Linked DNA regions of Stegostoma tigrinum. The protein of the gene in region 2 interacts with the protein of the main gene of each other region in a biochemical or structural test. Links are inferred from orthologs where the notes say so. Each region holds a gene or a part of one and is shown on either strand. Other genes may lie near its edges. The genes, in order: setd7 and dnmt1.

The links.
Region 1: of the proteins of dnmt1 (region 2) and setd7, one has a biochemical effect on the other in vitro, tested with the Homo sapiens proteins (2 studies listed by BioGRID and IntAct, with this or other methods). The link is inferred for Stegostoma tigrinum from reciprocal best matches to the Homo sapiens genes DNMT1 and SETD7.

The regions. Positions count from the first base shown.
Region 1 is NC_081354.1:26,213,563-26,223,059, forward strand, and holds the start of setd7 (histone-lysine N-methyltransferase SETD7), read right to left. Parts: upstream 3,874-9,497; 5' UTR 3,727-3,873; coding exon 3,687-3,726; intron 2,629-3,686; coding exon 2,499-2,628; intron 1-2,498. UniProt on the Homo sapiens protein: Histone methyltransferase that specifically monomethylates 'Lys-4' of histone H3. H3 'Lys-4' methylation represents a specific tag for epigenetic transcriptional activation.
Region 2 is NC_081388.1:22,289,653-22,299,872, forward strand, and holds the start of dnmt1 (DNA (cytosine-5)-methyltransferase 1), read left to right. Parts: upstream 1-5,541; 5' UTR 5,542-5,626; coding exon 5,627-5,688; intron 5,689-10,220. UniProt on the Homo sapiens protein: Methylates CpG residues. Preferentially methylates hemimethylated DNA. Associates with DNA replication sites in S phase maintaining the methylation pattern in the newly synthesized strand, that is essential for epigenetic inheritance.

The DNA.
Region 1 (9,497 bases), on a different chromosome or scaffold from region 2:
AAGATCACACCACAAGTACTTCCCTACATAATAATGCTGCAAGTTAACTAGTACATTTGCTTCTGTCTTACATCTGAAGAAAGAAATGAAATATCTGGAGGAAAAAAAAAAGTTATCACGCCACTCTCTCTAACTTGGAATGGAATATTCTAGAAATAGTGCATCTGAAAACCCATGTCCCCAGTTATCAGACTGATTGCAGATATATGCTTCTTTGCCACAAACATGACAACACTTGTTCCCAAATTCCAATTCCAACTGGAACACTAGGAGCTATTAATAACACAAGGGAAACTGATGCAGTTGAATCAGTTGGAAACCCTACACCATACATTATTTTGCTTCCAACCGACACTGAACAGTAAGATGTGAAAAGACTGACAACTATGACTGCACTAGATTAATTACTTCAATGGTCCTGTCCCAAAAGCAGGTGGCAAGTAGTTCCCTTTATTCTTCCTCCTTTCTTTAAAAAGGAGGAAGGGAAGAAGGTTTGTTTGCTCATTTTCTTTTTAAATGTGAGTAAATAAAATTAGAATGAACTGCCCATCTTTCCTTGTAATTACTTCATTTTGCCTGTCTCACTTTCTCAACTACATGTCTATTTCTCCTCATTTATCTGTTAGAATTTAGAATCAGTTTCACAGGTGTAATTGCTTAGTTCTGACATTGTTTAAAATATAACATCTCAGATGAGATAATTGACATTAGTGTTGAGATGTATTTTCAGCATTTTATGGTTATTGTGTTTTTTGGAACACAGAACCAAGAGTACAATTAGCATAATATATATTTTCCCTTGTCTCATAACCATACCTCATACTCATTTGATTACCTCAATAAAACTTTGGAAATGTGTCCTTTTTTCCAATGATCAAAGGAAGCTTGCAGCTAAAGAAAAATACTCAAATCAATGCAGCTAGGAAATCAGACACTTCAAATGCTTAAACCGCATCACGAAATAGAGTGTGGGTGGGGAGGGGATAGGTCAGTCCTCTGTCCGTCCTCCCCACCTCTCCACCTATGCTGACCTCTACAGGTTCCTTCCCCGCCCCTTTAACTTGTCTGTCTCCTCTCCATCTATCTTCTCCTCTGTCCATCTTCGGTCCGCCTCTCCCTATTTATTTTGGATCCTTCTCCCCATCCCCCCTTTCTGATGAAGGGTCTAGGCCCGAAATGTCAGCTTTTGTGCTCCTGAGATGCTGCTTGGCCTGCTGTGTTCATCCAGCTCCACACTTTGTTATCTTGGATTCTCCAGCATCTGCCGTTCCCATTATCCACGAAATATACCGACCCCAGTTACAAGTTGTGCTTTCAGAAAAGGCTAAAGTTATAAAAGCTTAAATGAAATATTTAATAATGTTACTAGGGTCTGGTATTCTTTGATTTTCTTTCAAAAAAAAAACCTTGGAAACATAGAATGTTCGGTTCTTGACAAAAAGTTTTCAGATGGAGAAACCATTTGGAATGACCTGCAAGCAAGTGAACACCAGAATACACATCCCCTAGTTATATCTCATTTTACACAATGAATAGGAACTATTTTTATATGGAAAAATTACAAATCAAAAATCATAGCAAAATGTGATGTTTTCATCAAATTAATAAATATATATTGACAAAGATATTAAATGTGATTTCAAAAGACCACAATTTCTTAATGAATCTTTGAACTGAATTTATTTGTTGAAATAAAATTTTGTATGCTTAAATTTTAGTTACTTAGGTCATTATTTTTCTCCCTTACACAGCAACTGTAAAGATTTACTTTCCTCCCCGTATAACAGTTCCATAAATAGTTACTGAGCTGGCATCATTCTATAATTCTTGTCCTTGCTGTTCTACCGAGACAAAATGCATTGTTTGTAATGTACCCACAATTATTTCACAATTCAGCTGCATACGCATTTATGTATGAGGATAGCGTCTTCATGATACAAACAAACTTTCTGCTGGCAAGGCAGTACTGTCATCACTGACAAAAACATCCATCCCTCTCCATTTCCTCCCGACTCTTAAAAAGATAATTATGAAAACCTAAAGAGAATAAAGGGAAAACAGGAAATCTCCCTGCACAACTGAAAATTTGTAATTTAGTTGTTACAAACTACACTCATGATGCCATCAAAAAGTGAGCAAAGCATAATATACATCATTTTCAATCTGGGTAATGTTGCAAAGGAGCAGTTTGTAGAAACAAACTGCAACAAGCACACACTGCCAAATATACTTTATAAAATCAATAGAAATGAAACGTCCATATGAAATTTGAATCACCAGCATTGATAGTGTCAATAAACTTCTGATTTATAGACTAAGTGCAACAGCAAATGGTTGAACAAGGCCACCCTTTTTCCCAGTAAAAGGTACCATTATACACATTCCAAATTACAGTCAAAGAAATCCTAACTCAGATCAAGAGAAAAACCCCTCTGACAGAGCAAATATATCTAAACAAGTAATAAAGCTTCAAATTGATGGACTTTGATTTTTTTTACCTGCCATCAAAAAAATAGAACTTCCCGTGACCATTCTTCTCACCATGCACAAAATGCCCTTCAAATCTGTCACCTGAAGAATAGGTAACTTTACAGAACCCATGTGGCTCGTTATCTTCATCCAGGGGACCTACAATAGGAACACTTTAAACTTACTGAACCTCAGCACACACACACGTAAAATGCATCATCTTAAATCCAAAAGAAAAAAACAATGCAAATTACTGCAATATATGACACACATCTGCTGACTAAGTATCAAGCAGGAATTCTGTTCACAAAGTCAAAAGGGAGGCTTCGACTTAAGGACTGTGCGAAACCCAGTTTGGAGGTGACTTTTTTCCCCCCAACCCCCGACTGGGTTATTTATTATGAGTGAACACAACAGCTGAAATGTCGCGATGGGGGAGAAACGGCTTTTTCATTTCCTCACTGTTGCGTGTGGCATTAACAGTGGGGTGGGGTGGGGAGGGGGAAAGCTTTATTTCTCAATTCTTAAATAATCATTGTTAGACAGAAAATAAAATCGTACAGCAAATTGTTACCATCGACAATGACCTCCCCTCGAAGACTTCACCGTGAAGTAAAGATTACATTGTTTATAAAAGGTACGGGGGGGGGGGGGGGGGGAGATGGAGAAAGGGAGAGAAAAGTTTCCAGGCTCTGTTTCAGATTGTAAATATGCAACAAATTATAAACACACAGCCTCAGTCTACCACCACAGTAGTGGTGCTTTCATTGTTCTCCTCTGAGGGACTGCCTGCATCACAATAATCCACGTTACATAACCGCTAAAGTAGCACATTGTCTTTTAAAACGATTCACTTTTTGTTTATAAAAAAAATCCATTCCATTCCCCGGTAAGTCAGAATAGAATTTCGACGTACTTCAACAAAGAAAACTAACACTGGGCTTTATCTTGACGAATTAAATTTGCATTTCGTCAACAAAGCCTCAGAGCAAAAAAACTTTTACAAAACATTTTTCTTAAAAAGGTACATTCACTGACTGATTTTTCGACGCATGGGTTAAACGCACTAAATAAAAGCCACCTCTCTCGAGACGGGCGGTTTTGGGCCGAATATATCCGCGCTGCACTGTCCCTCCCTGCTGCCCGGCTTGTTTTAGGGAGATGAGGCATCAAACCCTTTCTCTGGAACACCCCCCTCACCCCCTCACCCCCCTCACCTTCTACCGTCTCCTCCACATTATCGTCGTCACTGTCCATAACACCGCTGCTCTCAGTGGCTGAGGCTTCTTTTCGCACTAGGGAGACCAGCTCTAACTCTGTCTTTGCTTAGACTGCAAGTTACCGCTGCGTAAACCGGAATCAGACACTGACATCATCCCTCTTCCCCCAGCTGCTGCATTGATCGACAGTCTCAGCACTACCTCACCTCCCAAAACCCTTCCCACCATTAGCGGTCGCTCCATTCACTGCCAGACGCACTCTCTCGCACCCCTCCCACCCAAAGGCTTTGATTGACAATTTCAATCTCTCTCCCTCCTCGCAGAATATAATCACACGCTGTAATAAAACGAAGAACCATTTCCATCATCTCACCACGCACATTTCTACCCCCTGACACCAACTCGTGCATATTGGAGAGACACAGGCATCAAGAGGCATAGACCATCAAATGTCAGGAAAGATGTACTGGCGTTGGAGGCAGCCCAGTGAAGGTTAAGACCAGGAGAATTACGAACAGGAGTAGGCCGGCTGAGCAATTCAACAGTCTCACATTCCTCATGACCCATTTCCTGCCCTTTCCCCATAACCCTAGATTCCCCATCTGATCCATCTATCTCAACCTTAACCAAATACAAGGACTCTGCCCCCACAGCTGTCTGTGGCAAGGAATTACAAAGATGCTCAACCCTCTGATTGAAGAAAATAATCCACCTAGATACTTAAAGTCAAACAGCACAGAAACAGAACCTGCGGGCCAACTCGTCCATACGGACCAGGTTATCTAAACTGAACTAGTCCCACTGGCCTGCATTTGGCCATAACACTATCCAAATACTCCACCGATTCTATTTAAATGTTGTAATGTACTCACCTCTACCACTTTCTCTGATAACTTGTTCCATATATACCCCCTGTTCCCTTTTAAATCTTTCCCCTCTCCTTTAAATCTATGTCCTCTGGTTTTGGACTCCCCAACCCTGGAAAAGACGTTGACTAATCATTTTATCTATGCCCCTCACGATTTTATGAACTTCTACAAGGTCAGCCCTCAGCCTCCTATGCTCCAGGGCAAAAACTCACAGCTTAACCAGCCTCTCCTCATATCTCAAACTCTCAACTCTTGGTTGTAAATCTTTTTTCCACCCTTTCTAGTTTAATAACATCCTTCGTACAGCAGGGTAACCAGAATTGTACTCAGTACCCCAAATGTGGCCTTACCAGTGTCTTGTATATCCGTAACATGAAATTACAACTCCTGCATTCAATGCTTCAATTGATGAAGGCAAGTTTGCCAAGCACCTTCTTTACCATCCTGTCTACCTGCAATGACATTTTGAAGGAACTATGTACCTGCATCCCTAGGTCTCCTTGTTCAACAACACTCCTGCGATTGCTATCATTAACTGTACAAGTCCTGCCTTGGTTTGTCTTACTAAAACTCAATACCTCACATTTATCTGAATTAAACTTCATTCCTTGGCCCTCTGGACAAGTTGATCAAATCTTTCTGTACTGTTAGATAACCTTCCTCACTGTCCACTATACCACCAATTCTGGTGTCATCCATAAACCTATTAAACATGCCTCCTGTATTCTCATCCAAATCATTAAATAGAACTGACGAACAATAGTGGTCCCAGCATTGATCTTACCATGCTCTGTCTTCTATGTTAAGCCAATTTTGTATCCAATTAGCTAGCTCTCCCTGGATGCCATGCGATCTAACTTTACTAACTAGTCTACCATGAGGAACTTTGTCAAAGGTTTCACTAAAGTCCATGTAGGCCACATCTACCACTCTGCCTTCTTCTACCTTTTTGATCACCTCTTCAAAAAACTCAATCAAGTTTGTGAGACATGATTTCCCACTCACAAAGCCATGCTGATTATCAGTCCTTGCCTTTCCAAATACACGCAGGTCCTGTTTCTCAGAATGCCCTCCAAGAACCATTGATGTCAAATCCACCATTGAGGTCAAGCTCACTGTCTGTACCTCCCTGGCCTTTCTTTGCAGCCTTTCTTAAACAATAGCACAACATTAGCCGCCCTCCAGTCTTCTGGCACTTCACCCATGGCTGTTGATAATACAAATATCGCCACTAAGGATTCAACAATTTCTTCCCTAGTTTCCCACAATGTACTGGGATACATTTGATCAGGTCCCAGGGATTTATGTGCCTTTGTATGTTTTATTAAACGGTTGCGTGTTTATTCTGAGATGATGCCCTTCGGTCTAGACTTTCCCATGAGCTAATACATCCTCTCAACATCTATCCTGTCAAGTTCCTTGACAATCCCACATGTTTCAATGAAATCACCTCTCATTCTTCTAAGTTCTGATCAGTCCCAGTGTGCTTAGCCTTCGCTCAGAACAATCAGCATCTCTTATTCTTATTCTCCAAACCCTTGAATTAAGACCAACATTCCATTAACCTTCTTGATTTTCTGCTGCACCTGTTATTAACTTGCAGTGTTTTGTGCAGCAATACCCACAAGTCCCTTTGTGTTGTAGCTTTCTGCAGTTTTTCTCTATTTAAATAATACCCTGTTCTTTTATTCTCCTATCCTAAATGAACAACTTCACATTTTCCCATATTATACTCCACTTATCAATGTTTTGCCCACTTAACCTATCAACATCTGTGAATTGTTTGTACCCCTCATGCAATTTGTTTTCTCCCCGATTTTAATTCAGGTGCATATTGGTTACAACATATTCACCTTCTTCCTGAGTTATTAATATACATTCACTAAGTTGATACCAGGAATGGATTGACTAAGAGGAAAAGCTAAGTAGGCTGGGCCTGTACTCATTTGCGTTAAGAAGAATGAGAGACAACTTTATTGAAAGGGTAGATGCAGACAGGGTGTTTCCACTTTGTGGAAGAGTTTAGGACCAGAGGGCACCCATTTAAGATAATGACGAGGAGAATTTTTTTTTCTCCCAGACAGTGGCGAACCTGTGGAATTGGTTCACAAAAGATTTACAAGGGTGTTGCCACGTTTGGAGAGTTTGAGCTACAAGGAGAGGCTGAATAACCTGGGGCTATTTTCCCCTGAACATCAGAGGCTAAGGGGTAACTTTATAGAGGTTTATAAAATATGAGAGTGCAGTGAACAGCCAATGTCTTTTTTCCCAGGGTTTGGGAGCCGAAAACTGGAGGACATAGGTTTAAGGTGAGAGGGGAAAGATTTAAAAGGGGCCACATAGAAAGTGATGAGTGTATGGTACGAGCTTCCAGAGGAAGTGGTGGAGGGCTGGTACAATTACAACATTTAAAAGGTATCTGGATGGGTCCATGACTAGAAAGGATTTAAGAGGGTTATTGGCCAAATGCTGGAAAATGGAACTAGATTAATTTAGGATGTACGAGTTGGACTGAAGGGTTTGCTTTTGTGTTGTACAACTCTTATGACTCTATAATTCTTTACTACAGAAACTATTGAGGCTGGATCAAAATCAGGTAACACTGTAGACAGTATATATGTGTGTGTGTGTGTGTGTGTGTGTGTGTGTGTGTGTGTGTGTGTGTGTGTGTGTGTGTGTGTGTGTGTGTGGATATATATATATATATATATAATATATCACATAAAATTACAAATGGATATTAATAGACTAAATGAGTGGATAAAATTCTAGCAGATGGAGTTCAAGTTAAGAAGTGTGAAGTTAACCATTTTGGACTGACGAAGAATAGATCAGGGTACATTCTAGATGGTATCAAATGAATGTCCAAAGACACTTGGGGGTTCATGTGCATTTATCTTTAAAATTTCAGAAAAAAGTGTAGAACATAATAAAGGAAGTTAATTGAATTATGGCCTTTCTAGTAGACTGGAGTTCATATTTGGAGAAGCGATGCCGCAGTTATATAAAATCCCACTTGAAATACTATGAGTAGGTTTGAGCACCACACCTTAGGAAGAATATATTGGCCTTGGAGGGAGTATAATGTGGTTTACAAGAATCATACCTCAACTTCAGCGTTCAAATAATAAGGAAAGATTACACAAATTAGGCCTATCTGCTCAAGAATTTAGAAGATTAAGGGGTGGTCTGATTGAAGGCTTCAAGATATTGATAGGAAAAGACAGTAGATAAAGATAAACTATTTTCACTGTGGATGATTCTAGAACCATGGGGCATAGTGTAAGAATTAGGGCCAGACCATTCAGGAGGTATGTTAGGAAGTACTTCTATACATGAAGGGGTGGTAGAGGTTTGGAACTCTCCTCCACAAATGGCAGTGGATGATGGATTAGTTGTTAATTTTAAATTTGAGATGGATCAATTTTTCTTAAGTGAAGGTACTAAGGGATATACCTGCCTTTGGTCCATATGGAGTTAAGCCACAGAAGAGCTATGATCTCATTGAATGGTGGAACAGATTTGAAGGGCTGAATGGCCTAGCCCATTCCTATATTCAAGCTGAGATGGAGAGAATTTTAATCAGTTAAAGAAATCAAGAATTCCTTGCAATGTGAGTTGAGGTTTATCAGATCATCCGTGATCTCATGGAAGAGTGAACAATGCCTGTTAAGCTGAAAGGCCTACTTCTGCTCCTACGTCTTATGTTTTTATGGACAACCAACTGCATTTCCAAATACATCCTGCAGTCCATCCATCCCAACATTTCTGGTGTATGTTATATTCCGCCATACTGTGTTTTAGAACTGCTCCCAATGCCGACCTGTCTCATTCCTAATATTGCCAATTACTTTTCAATAAATTACAGACTGTTTACATATGTGGCCTCATGCTGTTAAACTACTAGCACCTTTGAGCTGACACCCACATTTGTCCGCTTTCCATTAAGAACACTGGCTGATTTCTTTTTTATAAATCATAATGGCTTCACAGTCATTGTTAGACTCTTCATTCCAGATTTTCTATTTCATTGAATTCAAACTTCACCATCTGACGTGGTGGGATTTGAACCCAGGTCCCCAGGATATTAGTTGAGTCTCTGGATTAATAGTTTAACAACAATACCACTGGGCCATCACCTCCCCTACTTTGCCCCTCATCAGCCGAAATACAGTATTCAGTTGTTATGCCTCTACTGCTGGCCCAGATAAGGTCTGTTAATTCAAAACATACTGGGGATCCTAGTATCCATATCTCAGCTATTGTTGGCCGTTTAGAAATTGAAACTTTAGAGGTGGTCTCAGAAAGCTTTTTTATAGGGGTAACATTCCAACTTCACACTCCTGGCAGCAGGTAAAGACTGCATAGTTAAAAATTAAAGCATTTTGAGAATGTTTTCTAAACCTATTCCATGTAAATGATAAAATAAAGGTAATGATGTACCACCACCTGCAAATTCTCCTCTAAGACCCTTACCATCCTGACCTGGAATATATATCATCATTCCTTCACTGTTGCTGGGTCAAACGCCTGGAATTCCCTCCCTGAAGGCATTGTGGGTCTACCTACAACAGCGGATCATGATAGCAGCTCACCACCACCTTCTCAAAGGCTACTAGGTCCAATCAGTGGTGCCTGTGTTCCATGAGTGAAGCAAAATCCAAGATTTGGCTTCAGTAATTTCCATGAAAAAACATCTATCCCTGTAACTCTCATTACATTCCACTCCCTTGACACCTTTTCCTTTCCATTATCTTCTCTACTGTGATCATCTCTAATCCTTTGCCACTTTCTTCTGTGTATTTACTTTCTACCATTTATCTTGTATCACCCGTTATCTATCCCATGGATTACCCCTATTCTCCGCAGTCCTGCTTCCTCTCATTCTCCTGTATCACAATCTGATTTCAACTCAGTTCCCATCAACTTAACCATTAAA
Region 2 (10,220 bases):
CTTTTTAAAGCTGCTTTCAACCCTGCAGTAACTTTTTCCACTGATACCTCGGGTACGTAAATTGCCAAAAAAAACTGTTACAAACATAACAACCATTTTATAAATAAATTTTGTGTTTCCTACAAAAATGTCTTAAATTTACGGCAGTAAATGCAGGCAATGCTGATTTTTTTTTTGAATGTCTTGACATTGTGGTTGTATTTGCAGTTCTGCTGAAGACTCATTAAATGCATTGAAAAATTATACTTTTTGTTGTATTGTTTTCAGACTAACTGAAGCCACAGTCCTTTTATTAATACACAATGAGCTACAAAGGGAGTTGACATTGCATCTATGTGAAAGGCATTTAATGAAAGTTAACTAAAAACAATGCTTTGTGACCTAATGTGTTTGCGGAAAAGGGAAGCAGTCAAGAAAATAAGGTGCTCTCTTGGCTGCCTCACAATTCAAATTAAATTGACATATGAAAAGAAATTCAGGATCTTTAAAGTTCTGCATCAGCTTTGCTCCCAAGCAACATAAGAAATAGGAGCAGCAGTATGCTGTCTGGCCTGTCAAGCCTGCTCACCATAACTCTAATTCCTTTACTGTGCGAAAATCTGTCTATCATTGCCCTAAAAACATTCACCAAGATAGCCTCAACTGCTTCACTGGGCAGGAAATTCCACAGAATCACAGGGAAAGGTTTGAAATGCAGTTATTGCTGAGGCCAATTATTAGTATTCCAGGAGTTCACCAAAGAACAGCCACGACCAGACTTAATAGTGCAGGCAGCCCTGTTTGAATGATACAAAATAACTATACATGGGACATTGACAGGATGCAGAGATGGGCTGAGAGGTGGCAGATGGAGTTCAACCTGGATAAATGCGAGGTGATGCATTTTGGAAGGTCGAATTTGAAAGCTGAGTACAGGATTAAGGATAAGATTCTTGGCAGCGTGGAGGAACAGAGGGATCTTGGTGTGCAGATACATAGATCCCTTAAAATGGCCACCCAAGTGGACAGGGTTGTTAAGAAAGCATATGGTGTTTTGGCTTTCATTAACAGGGGGATTGAGTTTAAGAGTCGTGAGATCTTGTTGCAGCTCTATAAAACTTTGGTTAGACCGCACTTGGAATACTGCGTCCAGTTCTGGGCGCCCTATTATAGGAAAGATGTGGATGCTTTGGAGAGGGTTCAGAGGAGGTTTACCAGGATGCTGCCTGGACTGGAGGGCTTATCTTATGAAGAGAGGTTGACTGAGCTCGGTCTCTTTTCATTGGAGAAAAGGAGGAGGAGAGGGGACCTAATTGAGGTATACAAGATAATGAGAGGCAGAGATAGAGTTGATAGCCAGAGACTATTTCCCAGGGCAGAAATGGCTAGCACGAGGGGTCATAGTTTTAAGCTGGTTGGTGGAAAGTATCGAGGGGATGTCAGAGGCAGGTTCTTTACGCAGAGAGTTGTGAGAGCATGGAATGCGTTGCCAGCAGCAGTTGTGGAAGCAAGGTCATTGGGGTCATTTAAGAGACTGCTGGACATGTATATGGTCACAGAAATTTGAGGGTGCATACATGAGGATCAATGGTCGGCACAACATTGTGGGCTGAAGGGCCTGTTCTGTGCTGTACTGTTCTATGTTCTATGTACATATGTATATTTTTGCCATAAAAACTGAAGTGTCACCTCTGTTACTAGATACTTGACCGTAGGTCAAGATTGTGGATTCAATCAGGCTTGTATTTGGAGGGCTGGAGTTGGTACTCTTTGGCAATGTAGAGGATCAATGATCAGATTTTTTCATTTCTGATCAGTCCTTATTAGAAGAGGCACACTTGCATGTAGTAGGACAAGGAACAACAGCTGTATTGCTCTTTGCAATCATGTAGACTTATTGATTAATTACTATTTTGGATGTCATGAAGAATAACCACTTATACGGCTCCTGCAATCTGAGGTGAACGAAATAGCCTCAGGACAGAAGAAAATTTTGGTAGGGTCCACTTGGAAATGAATCTTAGAAAAATTCATAATTGAGCCAAACCAATCCATCTAAATACTAGAGAGAAACTCTGACATTCAGTTCAGACCTCTTTCTGTTTTGTATGAACTGGGCTAACTAGCAGAAAATTAAGTTTAAACCTTTTAAGTTCAGTTTTCTTTCAAATTTAATTCAAACAAGGCTGACACTTTAGCTTATTGCTAGAAATGATTCTCAAGTCTGCCTAAGTTTGGCAGCTGTTAGAATCAGATGAAATCGCTAAAATTAATAAATTTATAGACTATGCCTGTTGGTATTGAATCCATATTTAAGGCATTCTGCACTGACTAAAGTTAGAATACTGTGTGTTATTGTAATGATGTATGCCGTGTAGTTTAATGCACGTTCATAAGAATTAGAAGAGCAATGAGAGATGAAAACAGAAAATCAGACCTGACTGCATATCTTGCAGTCAGTGAGACTAATTAGAGAATTAACTAGATTTCTCACACGTTTACTGTGACCTGCTGCTAGTAAGTACAAGGATGTGAAAATTGGAAAAGCAGAGAATCATGACCTGTTCCAAAGATAGAACAACTTGCTGATGCCATTGTACTAGTAATAGATAAGGAAGCTCACACTGATATATGTAGGGTGTGTTGTGAGATTTATCTACACTGTTGATCTTGTGCTCTTGGAGTTAAACTGAAATTTCCTGTAAATAATACAAATCAATATTACTGTCAGTGTAGCTGGGCTAGTACTAACTGCTGATTCCAGCTGTCAGCATTGAGTTTGTAGGTCACTGGAGCATTTTAAATTTATGGAAAACATTGCCACCTTGTGCACTGTGTACAGACTTAAATCAGCAAATGCAAAGACAGGAGGATGCTATTTACTTCTTCAAGAATGTTCCATTTGATGTGTTTGTGACTGCTCTATGCCCTAACTCCATATTGTTGAAAATTAATTTTAACAATTACACTTAACATTAAAATCAAAGGAATATTACTCTGGTTTGTATAATTTCTCCTTTAAATTTAACTCCTGGGAGTCCATATATCATTCTGACAAACCTATGCTGCATTCTGTCCGAAACAAATATATTCATCCAAGGTGTGATGCCCTGTTTTGGTCACAGTGTGGTCTGGCTAGTATTTAGCTGTAGCAGAAATTCACATCCCTTGTATTCTAGTTGTCTAGTTATAAAGGCTGCCATTCGATTAGCCTTTCTGACTATTTTCTGCGCATGTTTGGCCAAAATTTCAACTAGTTTCCCAATATTATTTGGTTACAGAGACAAGTTCACAGAATTTACAGCCCGATCTCATTAGGGTTCTACTGCACAGACTCCTGATAGTTTAATTGCTATTGACTGTGAAGCTAATTCAGTTATTCCTTTCCAAATCTGCAGATGTGAACTTTTCGCAAATCAAAGAGTCTAAACCTCTTAGTTCCAATCAGCAGCTAACCAAACTCTACCAGTTTAGAAGTTTCACAAACTTTAACCCTTCTGCTGTGGTGACTTATTCTCTGAATCCTCAGCTGAGGAGGGAAACAAACCTTACTTCTAAACTCAACACTAGTGTTCTCTGGACTGAACTGTAAACAAAACTAACGACCTTTTATTTTACCTGATATAAACTCAACAATATAAACGTTAAGGTGTAGAGCTGGATGAACACAGCTGGCCAAGCACCATCTTTGCCTGCTGTGTTCATCCAGCACTACACCTTGTTATCTCAGATTCTCCAGCATTGGCAGTTCCTAACACCATTGGGGGTCTATCCGATCTTTAATCAAATGTTGGATTTAAGTCAGTGCTCTGGAAGGAGTCTGGCTTTGTTTTTTTTTAAGGAACACCTTCACAGAAGTCACAAATACCCACCTGCCTCAGTTTTGAAATACAAATTGTAAAAGTGAAAGTTGTAAAAATTATAGATTCAGTCCAGTGGGTCAAAGTAAGCTCTGGAAAAAAAACATCATTTTAAGCTCGGATGCTTTACAGCCTCTAGGACTTAATATTGATTTCCACAACTTCAAATGTTCGTTCTCAATTTGCCTTACAACCCCCAGCACCCCTGTCTTGTCTACTTCGCTCTCAGGGGACGGGTCCCACTTTTCAACCGTTCCCACCCCCACTAATTTACACCCATTTTAACATCCTATTTCTTTCACTACAATTAACAACCCTTTTTGTAGTGGGCCTCCACAAAAGTCTGTTCTTCTCACTCCTCCTCTGTTCTTTCAAAGGTGTAACAGAAACATTTTCCAACGCCTTTCAGTCCTGAAGAATTTACTCAGGACGCGAACCGTTAACTCTATTTCTCTTTCCACAGATGCTGCCAGATCTGCCGAGTTCCTCCAGCATTTTCTGTTTACGCTTTCGAAGGTTCACGCTGATTCATAGCTGTCACCTCTGCCCTTTTCTAACGCATTTTGTTTTTAAAACATTCATCCACTTCCTTCTAAAAGTTATCACGGATTCTGCTTCCCACCACCATTTCGGTTTATGCATACCACTTTCTAACAACTCTGGAATAAAAAAAAATGCGCCGAACCTCTTGACACTTTCATGAAACGTACGTGTTCTGTGTTCAAAGACTTTACTCCACGGCCACTGTCAAATTAGAGGCTTTGTGAATGGCCATCAGCAAACGATCTCTACAGATCACAACAGGACAGGAAGCAAACAAAAATAAAAGCTGACAATGCAACGAAAATGCATTTGGAGAAGAAACCGAGGTAAAGGGAAGTGTGACATTTGCTGCAAATTACAAGAAGCAAGTTACAATGTATTGGGGGGGCACATCAATGAGCATTAAAACGTGTGGGCTTATTCAATCACTGCTGGAGGAGTAACTGAAATGATTGTTTCAAACTTAAAATAACAGTCGAACCGATATTGCTTTACTCTTGCTGAGACGATGTGTGGTAGTGCTGTTTATAGAATATGGTAGTGTGTTACACAATGTGGAGTATTTGAGTCTAGTTACTACAGCAAGGGGAAGCCACTCCCCCTCCCTCCCTTGCTTCCCATTCATCTTTTCAGAGGTTACAGCCTGGGAGGAATCCATTTCGGAAAGAGGGGGGGACTGCATCTAGAAACACAATCTGCCGCAAGTTGCCTCTTTTATAAAGATCACTGCGTTAACCACAATCAGACAGATATTTTACTGTTAATAAATCACAAGTGATGAAAAATTTTTCTCACAGGATAAGCGGTGGATGGGATAAAAACATTCATTAAAAATACAACAAGCCCCCGTTCTTCTTTTTCTGGGATTCCAATGATGAATGACCCGGACCGTGAGCAGCAACCATAACATGGAGGATAAGGGGTGGGGGGGAACCATCATGTGTTTTAGAAAGAAACGTCCTAATTCCTTCATTGTTGAAGGATAGAAAGCAACCAGCTGAATTAGTCAAATTCTCTGTAGACAAACAACGATGGAATATTGATAATCTGGCTATGATCTGATTGTTTAATGTGATAATTTATTATTTATCCCTCCCTCTCGCTTATCAGCGACTGGACCAGTCCGGATCGCGCGCGAAAATCCCCGCCCGCCCGCCCGCCCGCTCGCTCGCGCCGCTGTTTTCCGCCCGGAGCCGGGAACCGCCGCCGCCCCCTTTCCCCCCAGTCGGCCCGCTCCGCCCGCGATGCCAGCCCGGATCAGCGGTAGTGCCGCCGCATCCTCCCTGCCCGAGGACATCAGGAAGCGGTGAGTGAATGAATTCCCCTCAGGCGGCGCTGGGGCCTGCGGCCTCTCTCCATCGGCGGGGATTCACAGCCGCGGCCCGGTTACCGTCAATGCCTCCCCCCCCTCCTCCCGTCAATATGGTGTGCATGTGGCGGGGGAAGCTGGTGATGAATCCCAATCTCCGGAGACTCGGTGATGGCGATCCGAGGATTTGGCGCCAAACTGCATTTATCACTCCACCCCCCGAAATTATACCCACCCTATCATTATCCCTCCTCTCCATCAACCCCCACTCTCCCCATCAATACTCCTCCTCTCCATCAACCCCTACTCCCCCCATCATTATCCCTCCTCTCCGTCAACCCCTACTCCCCCCATCATTATCCCTCCTCTCCATCAACCCTCACTCCCCCCATCATTATCCCTCCTCTCCGTCAACCCCCACTCTCCTCATCAATACTCCTCCTCTCCATCAACCCCTACTCCCCCCATCATTATCCCTCCTCTCCATCAACCCCCACTCTCCCCATCAATACTCCTCCTCTCCATCAACCCCTACTCCCCCCATCATTATCCCTCCTCTCCGTCAACCCCCACTCCCCCCCATCATTATCCCTCCTCTCCACCAACCCTCACTCCCCCCATCGTTACCCCTTCTCTCCACCATCAACACCCCCCATCATTACCCCTTCTCTCCACCGTTGACCCCCTCCCCATATCATTACCCTCCCCTCCACCATTGATTCCCCCCTCCTCTCCACCATCAACCACCCCATTGTCTTCTCCCCTGTCGCCAAGCGCCTCTTTCCCCCCCCCATCGCCAAGCGCCTCTTCCCCCCCATCGCCAAGCGCCTCTTCCCCCCCATCGCCAAGCGCCTCTTCCCCCCCATCGCCAAGCGCCTCTTTCCCCCCCCCATCGCCAAGCGCCTCTTCCCCCCCCATCGCCAAGCGCCTCTTCCCCCCCCATCGCCAAGCGCCTCTTCCCCCCCATCGCCAAGCGCCTCTTCCCCCCATCGCCAAGCGCCTCTTCCCCCCCCATCGCCAAGCGCCTCTTTCCCCCCCCATCGCCAAGCGCCTCTTTCCCCCCCCATCGCCAAGCGCCTCTTTCCCCCCCCATCGCCAAGCGCCTCTTTCCCCCCCATCGCCAAGCCCCTCTTTCCCCCCCATCGCCAAGCCCCTCTTTCCCCCCCATCGCCAAGCCCCTCTTTCCCCCCCATCGCCAAGCCCCTCTTTCCCCCCCATCGCCAAGCCCCTCTTCCCCCCCCCATCGCCAAGCCCCTCTTCCCCCCCAACATCGCCAAGCCCCTCTTCCCCCCCCATCGCCAAGCCCCTCTTCCCCCCCATCGCCAAGCCCCTCTTCCCCCCCATCGCCAAGCCCCTCTTCCCCCCCCCCATCGCCAAGCCCCTCTTCCCCCCCCCATCGCCAAGCCCCTCTTCCCCCCCCATCGCCAAGCCCCTCTTCCCCCCCCATCGCCAAGCCCCTCTTCCCCCCCCCGTCGCCAAGCCCCTCTTCCCCCCCCCCGTCGCCAAGCCCCTCTTTCACCCCGTTGCCAAGGCCCTCTTCCCCCACCGTCGTCGTCGACCCCGTCTTCTCCCCCCCCGTCGTCGTTGACCCCGTCTTCCCCCCTCGTCGTCGTCGACCACCCCGTCTTCCCCCCCCCATCGTCGTCGACCCCGTCTTCTCCCCCGTCGTCGTCGTCGACCCCGTCTTCTTCTCCCCCCCCGTCGTCGTCGACCCCGTCTTCTCCCCCCCCGTCGTCGTCGACCCCGTCTTCTCCCCCCCCGTCGTCGTCGACCCCGTCTTCTCCCCCCCCGTCGTCGTCGACCCCGTCTTCTCCCCCCCCGTCGTCGTCGACCCCGTCTTCTCCCCCCCCGTCGTCGTCGACCCCGTCTTCTCCCCCCCCGTCGTCGTCGACCCCGTCTTCTCCCCCCCCGTCGTCGTCGACCCCGTCTTCTCCCCCCCCGTCGTCGTCGACCCCGTCTTCTCCCCCCCCGTCGTCGTCGACCCCGTCTTCTCCCCCCCCGTCGTCGTCGACCCCGTCTTCTCCCCCCCCGTCGTCGTCGACCCCGTCTTCTCCCCCCCCGTCGTCGTCGACCCCGTCTTCTCCCCCCCCGTCGTCGTCGACCCCGTCTTCTCCCCCCCCGTCGTCGTCGACCCCGTCTTCTCCCCCCCCCGTCGTCGTCGACCCCGTCTCTCCCCCCCCCCGTCGTCGTCGACCCCGTCTCCCCCCCCCGTCGTCGTCGACCCCGTCTCCCCCCCCCCGTCGTCGTCGACCCCGTCTCCCCCCCCCGTCGTCGTCGACCCCGTCTCCCCCCCCCCCCGTCGTCGTCGACCCCGTCTCCCCCCCCCCGTCGTCGTCGACCCCGTCTCCCCCCCCCGTCGTCGTCGACCCCGTCTCCCCCCCCGTCGTCGTCGACCCCGTCTCCCCCCCCCCCCGTCGTCGTCGACCCCGTCTCCCCCCCCCCGTCGTCGTCGACCCCGTCTCCCCCCCCCCGTCGTCGTCGACCCCGTCTCCCCCCCCCCGTCGTCGTCGACCCCGTCTCCCCCCCCCCGTCGTCGTCGACCCCGTCTCCCCCCCCCCCGTCGTCGTCGACCCCGTCTCTCCCCCCCCCCCCCGTCGTCGTCGACCCCGTCTCTCCCCCCCCCCGTCGACGTCGACCCCATCTCCCCCCCCGCCGTCGTCGTCGACCCCGTCTCCCCCCCCGTCGTCGTCGTCGTCGACCCCGTCTCCCCCCCCCCGTCGTCGTCGTCGTCGACCCCGTCTCCCCCCCCCGTCGTCGTCGTCGTCGACCCCGTCTCCCCCCCCGTCGTCGTCGTCGACCCCGTCTCCCCCCCCGTCGTCGTCGTCGACCCCGTCTCCCCCCCCCGTCGTCGTCGTCGACCCCGTCTCCCCCCCCGTCGTCGTCGTCGACCCCGTCTCCCCCCCCGTCGTCGTCGTCGACCCCGTCTCCCCCCCCCGTCGTCGTCGTCGACCCCGTCTCCCCCCCCGTCGTCGTCGTCGACCCCGTCTCCCCCCCCCGTCGTCGTCGTCGACCCCGTCTCCCCCCCCCCCGTCGTCGTCGTCGACCCCGTCTCCCCCCCCCCCCCGTCGTCGTCGTCGACCCCGTCTCCCCCCCCCCCCGTCGTCGTCGTCGACCCCGTCTCCCCCCCCCCCGTCGTCGTCGTCGACCCCGTCTCCCCCCCCCCCCGTCGTCGTCGTCGACCCCGTCTCCCCCCCCCCCCCGTCGTCGTCGTCGACCCCGTCTCCCCCCCCCCCGTCGTCGTCGTCGACCCCGTCTCCCCCCCCCATCGTCGTCGACCCCGTCTCTCCCCCCTCCCCGTCGTCGTCGACCCCGTCTCTCCCCCCCCCCGTCGTCGTCGTCGACCCCGTCTCTCTCCCCCCCCCCGTCGTCGTCGTCGACCCCGTCTCTCCCCCCCCCCCGTCGTCGTCGTCGACCCCGTCTCTCTCCCCCCCCCCCGTTGTCGTCGTCGACCCCGTCTCTCCCCCCCCCCCCCCCCCCCCGTCGTCGTTGTACATGGGTGTGTGGATTGATACAGGCCAGAATTGAAGGCATACATCGAACATAGAACACTACAGCTCAGTACAGGACCTTCGGCCCTCGATGTTGCGCCGACCTGTGAAACCAATGTGAAGCCCATCTAACCTACACTATTCCATTATCACCCATATGTTTATCCAGTGACCATTTAAATGCCCTTGAAGTTGGTGAGTCTACTGCTGTTGCAGGCAGGGTATTCTATGCCCTTACACATTCTTCACCGCCCTGTCTACCTGCCACTCCACTTTCAAGGAACTATGTGCCTGCTCCCCCCGCAAAGGTCTCTCTGTTCAGCGACACTCCCCAGAACCCTCACCATTAAGCACACAAGTCCTACCCTGGTTCGTTTCACTAAAATGCGACAACCTTGCCTCTATCTGAATTAAACTCCACTGGCCATTCCTTGGGCCCACTGGCCCATTCGATCAGGATCCTGCTGTGCTCTGCAAAATTGTCAAAATGTTTTACAAGGTCACAAGGATATAGAGGCTTGAGTGAAGAATGGGGTGGGTGTTTGAGAGTTTTAAACTTGTATATTGTTATGATGGATCATAATGGATGCATTCTTGGAAGGATTTAAAGGAAGTGGCAGCAAAGATGGTGGATCCAGTAGCCTTCCAAGAATCCTTAGATTCTAGAAAAGTCCTTGCTGAAACATAGAACATTCTTGGGGAATAAACACAAATAACTGAAGCTGGAAACCTGAAACATAAGAGGATGTGCTTGAGAAAAGTTGGATCTAGCAGCAACTGTTGACAGGATGAATAGATTGGGTTGACGGTCGGAATCTTTTTCCCAGAATTGGAATGTCTGTTACCAGAGGGCGTACATTTAAGGTGAGAGAGTGAAAGTTCAAATCAGATGTGAGGGACAAGTTTTTGACACAGAGGGTGGTAGAAGTCTGGCACGCACCGTCAGGAGTGGTGATCGAGGCACATACTTTAGGGCTGTTAATGAGGCCTTTAGATACGCACATGAATATGCAACGAGTGGAGGGATAGGAACCATATTCA